Canis lupus familiaris: one gene and its partner. The protein of the gene in region 1 binds, or shares a complex with, the protein of each later gene. Links are inferred from orthologs where the notes say so. Each region holds a gene or a part of one and is shown on either strand. Other genes may lie near its edges. The genes, in order: SCML2 and H2AJ.

The links.
Region 2: the proteins of SCML2 (region 1) and H2AJ are in contact, whole or in part, in a crystal structure (PDB 4EDU), measured with the Homo sapiens proteins. The link is inferred for Canis lupus familiaris from reciprocal best matches to the Homo sapiens genes SCML2 and H2AJ. Residues at the interface, in NP_006080.1 of Homo sapiens: Asp182, Asn185, Tyr187, Leu188, Cys190, Phe206, Trp209, Phe213, Pro239, Pro240, Gly241; in NP_808760.1 of Homo sapiens: Leu35, Arg36, Lys37, Gly38.

Annotation. Positions count from the first base shown.
Region 1 is NC_049260.1:14,422,771-14,425,638, reverse strand, and holds part of SCML2 (sex comb on midleg-like protein 2), read left to right. Parts: intron 1-1,434; coding exon 1,435-1,586; intron 1,587-2,868. UniProt on the Homo sapiens protein: Putative Polycomb group (PcG) protein. PcG proteins act by forming multiprotein complexes, which are required to maintain the transcriptionally repressive state of homeotic genes throughout development.
Region 2 is NC_049248.1:14,343,373-14,346,211, forward strand, and holds H2AJ (histone H2A.J), read left to right. Parts: upstream 1-1,556; 5' UTR 1,557-1,683; coding exon 1,684-2,073; 3' UTR 2,074-2,264; downstream 2,265-2,839. UniProt on the Homo sapiens protein: Core component of nucleosome. Nucleosomes wrap and compact DNA into chromatin, limiting DNA accessibility to the cellular machineries which require DNA as a template.

The DNA of each region.
Region 1 (2,868 bases):
GATGTGATCAGCATTTTTATCTCTGGCTGTGAAAGGGAAGATACATTTTAGTAAAGAGCTTTTTTTTTTTTTTTAACTTTTATTTATTTATGATAGTCACAGAGAGAGAGAGAGAGAGGCAGAGACACAGGCAGAGGGAGAAGCAGGCTCCATGCACCGGGAGCCCGATGTGGGATTCGATCCCGGGTCTCCAGGATTGCGCCCTGGGCCAAGGGCAGGCGCCAAACCGCTGCGCCACCCAGGGATCCCAGTAAAGAGCTTTTAGTTTACATCCAAGTTGTATATTGAAAGAGAAAATAAATACACTTTTGAGCTACACACAGGAAAACTTACCATTGTGAGTTCGTTTACCTTTTTTTCTTTGCCCTTTATCTGGGTAAATACTCAAAATACCCCTAAAATGGCTGGAGCCCAGGTGATAGGAAAGAAAAGGTGTATCTTTGGTTAATTCACACCAAAAAAAGACCAAATTTGTGTTGATGGTCCTTGTTTAAGGAAACAGATCTTCCTAGCAAATGACAAAACTCACTTCTGACACTAAGTAAAGAGTCAAGTGCTCTGGTTGTGTAAAATGAGTATTTGTCTGGACACAAATTACAGCACAACTTGGTAAACAGCACAGCTAAAACTTTTTGGGGGTAGGAGTGCATAATTTATTCTATGTCTCAATTATTTCTTTCTTTGACCTATAAACATTCAATCAGAATATCTATTACTATGCAATTAAACTTGAGAGAGGCATTCAGTATAATGTTAACTTTACTTCTGACCTAGCCAAGCAGAAAATCCTGTTTTCTTCAAAATTCAGATAAGCATTTAAGCCTTAAGAGACAGGAATTTAAATGGTAAAGTGATGCTATAAATAGCCACATTGAATACATGGGAGAGTTTCAGTAAAAACTAATTTGGTTCTCAAAGATAATGGGGTTATTGAAACTCACTGATTAAAGTGAATAAATTTAAGCAATTATAAAAACAAAATCTGGAGACTTTCCATTATATTTAGGTAGTAAAAGAAACCTAATCTACAAAGACCATGGGGAGAGAGATTGAAATTCATTGAAACACTTAAAGAGTAATAGGTTAGCTTACATTAACCTAATTTAACCCACACAACAGATCCTTTGCTGTCTTTGCCTGTGGCCAGCAAGGCCTCAGATTGATCAGTCTGTTTTACGATTTTTGAAGCTTTAAGGTAAATTCTGAAGCTGCTTTTGTTGTTTGGGGGAGGTCAGATGGGGTGCTCTTGGGTAGCCATCCTCAGGTCATTCTAATCTAGCCTTTGACTTGATTCTGCGCTTGGAGTCCTGGGTCCTTGCTGGGGTGCTTGATAGAAGGTTCCAGGAATGAGACCATTTCTCCCTACCTAACATCTCTTCTTTCAGGATAATGATCAGGTCAAGTATGATTTGTCTTTTTTCCCCCCCATTGAAGCTCCAAGTTATATAGCTGTACCCGACCCCAGTGTCCTGAAACAAGGCTTCTCTAAGGACCCTTCAACCTGGTCTGTGGATGAAGTGATACAGTTTATGAAACATAAAGATCCTCAGATATCAGGCCCCCTCGCCGACCTCTTCAGGCAACATGTAATGTATCTTTTGATCCGGTTTTCCTGCCGTAATGCCTTTCAATGACCTCTGTGCAGGCCCTTCAGTTGGATGGATGCTGATTAGTGTGGATGGTGGGGGAATCCTATCAACTGATTTTTTTTTCCATATATGAGAAAGGTTACTTGGCCCAAAGTTAGATTCTTAAACGATAGAGGCTGGATCTGTGCTTTATTTTATTTTTTAAAAGATTTTATTTATTTATTCATGAAAGACACAGAGAGAGAGAGGCAGAGACACAGGCAGAGGGAGAAGCAGGCTCCATGCTGGGAGCCTGACAGTGGGACTTGATCCCGGGACTCCAGGATCACACCCTGGGCTGAAGGTGGCACTAAACTGCTGAGCCACCGGGCTGCCCCATGGATCTGTGCTTTAAATGGGTACCCAAGTACCTAAAATACTACAAGTCTTCAAGCTCTCAAAAGAAGATGATTCAGCATGGCCACTCTCAGATGTCTTCTCCCACAAGGATCCTCCTCCCCACCTGCTCCCTGCTCGGCCCCAGGACCGTGAGTAGGAGGTGGTAACCACAAGCTGTGACAGGGTGTCCTCCTTGTTAATGATGCCCTATGAATCCAGCAACTGTGTAAGATTAAATGTGGTTTTATTTTAAATAGGAGCTCACGAATACCAAATAATATGCTTCTCTGACGTACATTGGTTAATTAAGGAAATAAAAAATTTTAGGAGGATGCCTTGTGTCTATTAAGTAATGTTTATAGTCTTTTCTAACAAATTAGTAACCAAATATCTTCCGTCCTTTTCGGTATTCTAAGAAAATCAGTAATTAGTTTTATCATTTAATTAGCTTAGCTTTAGACAACTAATTGATTAGTTTTCAACATAAAGACAACATTGTATAACACATTTACAGTTTGCATTGATGCTGACATCTTCATATTCCCAGCCTTTTTAAGAAAGTTAATGACCGTCTGAAATTGATTTCTACGATTCATAGTTTTCTACCCGTTGTCATAGATATGTAGTATTTTAATCAACACACAGTATTTAAAATCAGATAGTTTGATGCTTAGGCCATTTTTGAAAGATACTGGATTAAATTTCCTTTTTCTTAAAATTTGAAGTGAATTTAGAAATTATCAAATGATGTCTTACTGTATAAATTATATTTTTAATAGTTTTCAGGAAATAAATGCATATTCAGAGAATATATCAAGAATGTACAGCTGCTCTCTATTTTACATGTTCTTTTATATAAATAACTTGACAAAATATGAATGCATTATTAATTGTAATTTCT
Region 2 (2,839 bases), on another chromosome or scaffold:
TCAACTCTAAAGACGTTTGTTGAGTTCCTACTATACATAGGCTAATCATTTTTCTAGGCAGTAAGGCATGTACAAAAATCACTGAAAATGTGATTTCATTGAAATGAAGTATTTATTAGGATGGTGGGAGGGTAAATTTTACCTTTTTTTTTTTTTTTTTTTAATTTTACTTTTAAACCTGGGCAGCTCAGTGGCTGAGTATCTGCCTTTGGCTTAGGTCGAGATCCTGGGGTACTGGGATCCAGTACCGTATCTGGCTCCCTGCAGGGGACCCTGCTTCTCCCTCTGCCTATGTCTCTGCCTGTCTCTCTGTGTCTCTCTCTTGAATAAATAAATGAATCTTAAAAAACAAAACAAACAAAACAAAAACAACCTTACTTTGTTCCAAATGCTCTGGCTCTGCAATTTAGGTAAGGACGGTTGCTACTATTCTTTTGTCTTTTTCATGACCTCTGAGCGCCGCAGGGGCAGTAGAGAGCTGGAAAAAGGGACCACCGAGTGCCACCACAATGTCTTAGGCGACCTTATTTACCTCGGGGCTCCGAGTCTCCGTGGAGAACATGGTCAGCCCCGCAGTGATCAATAAGGAGGAAGCCAAGGCCCAGACTTTGTGTCTCAGAGACTGATCCTGCATCCTCCCCCTGGCATCCAGAGACTTTTCAGGCTCACAACGTCGAACACAAGAGACGTTGAGTTCTGGCTACGCGAGCTTGTTCTGCAGTCTGTGAAGAAAGCATTCGCGTCTAGTGCAGCGCTCTAGTTCCGCAGAAGCGAATACTGGCAACCTGGGAGCGGCAGGGCACGCGGGGAGCCCCGTGTCATTTGGTCTGGTTGAGAAAGTTCAGGTGGCCAGTCCCAGGCACCTTTCGGAGCCAGCTCTCCACACTGCTGGGCAAAGGGAGCATCTGGGCTTGCAGGAGACAGGCGCTGGTTTAGAGAAATGGCAGGCAGAGGAGCACTGTTGCCCCCCACCCCCACCCCCCCAAGCGCGGTGTCTGGAGTCAGGTTAACTAGCTGCTAGGATGCTGCTGTACTGTACGGTGCGAGGAAATCCGCCTCGCGGGCAGGGCACCGTGGGGAAGGAAGTGGGGCTCAACTTGCGGCCTCAGGTGCTTGAGGCTTTGGTCGCTTGAGTGCTTTATACTTGTACGGGGTAGCTCTTCCGGAGTTTGCAGTTTCTTTCTTTTTTTTTTTTTTTTAATTTTAAGTTTGATTGATTGATTGATTGATTTATTTATTTATTTATTTATTTATTTATTTATTTATTTGAGTTTGCAGTTTCTTAACCGTGGTTCCTTAATTCTTAAGACGTCCTTTTCCTAGGAGCGAACTTGGACCCTGAAACCTCAGGAGCCGGTGAAGTCAACGGAGGCTCCGGATGCGGGGCGCTGGGGTCCCGGGCATTCATAGGAGAGGCTTTGTAAATGAGGGCTGGGAGTTTGCTCCTTTGACTGGACAGAGCTGGAGAAGGAGGTGCCTCTGCCCGGAGCGCTGGTTGGGAGCGGAGCCTGCTTGTCATTGGTCCCAGAGCCCCAGATGTCGCTGCGTCCAATGGGAAGGCGCTGCCCAGTGTCAGCAAAGTGGCAGAGGCAGTTCCGGCGGGGTACGTTGCAGTGAGCCACTCGCTCAGACCCCGCGGCTGTGTCTCCCGCCCTCGCAGGAGTTGTAGGCGAGGAGGTAACCATGTCTGGTCGCGGAAAGCAGGGCGGCAAAGTGCGGGCAAAGGCCAAGTCCCGGTCCTCCCGCGCGGGCCTGCAGTTCCCGGTGGGCCGAGTGCACAGGCTGCTGCGCAAAGGTAACTACGCGGAGCGAGTGGGCGCCGGGGCGCCCGTGTACCTGGCGGCGGTGCTGGAGTACCTGACGGCTGAGATCCTGGAGTTGGCCGGCAATGCCGCTCGTGACAACAAGAAGACCAGGATCATCCCGCGCCACCTGCAACTCGCCATCCGCAACGACGAGGAGCTCAACAAGCTGCTGGGGAAAGTCACCATCGCGCAGGGCGGCGTCCTGCCCAACATCCAGGCCGTGCTGCTGCCCAAGAAGACCGAGAGTCAAAAGGCGAAGAGCAAGTGACCCTGACGCCGCCACAGGGGAGCTGGCTTCCCCAGCAAGGGCTCTTTTCATGGCCACCCCGCAGTATTCTTTTTTTTTTTTTTTTCCCCCCCAATATACTCGATGTCCTGGAAGGCTGGCGCGATCTAGTGGGGAGGTGGGTGGCAGGGGGCCCGCGGAGTCCGAGGCCAATAAAGTCGGTGAAAATCGTGTGGTCGAGAGAGCTATGTAGTGTCGGGGACCCTCCGGATGACCCGGGGGGCGACCAGGAGACCTCTGGAGCAGGTACTGGGGGGTCGGTTTCAGCCGCTTGTGGACTACTTGGGTCCGCACCCCCGAGGTGTTTTGTGGGCGGATGAGCGGGACCGCGGGGGGCGCACGGGCTGGAGGTGGGCAGAGCTGGGATCCCCTCTCGCCTTAAAGCAAAGGAGGGGCAGAGTGGGGTGCGCGTGCGGGGGCGGCAGGGGGGTTGTTTGTACGTCTCATTCCCAGGGCCTTCACTCTCCTGTCCTGTCTGGGCTGCTCCGGAGGACCCAGTTCCGGAGACGCAGTGGGGGGTTAGCTGGTGTCAAGCAGGAAGTTGGCTCCCTGACCGTACTTTTCAAAAGGTGGAGTAACTTTCCGTCTTGGAAAAGTAGACAGTGTCAACAGATTTTTTTTTCTCAGCCTGGTAGCTGTCGTGTTTTCATGTTTTGGATAGCAGGTTATTTTAATATACACGTTTATGTGCACATTTCTTTAAAATGAAGGGAACATCCAGTGATATGTATAATACAGAAGCATGAGT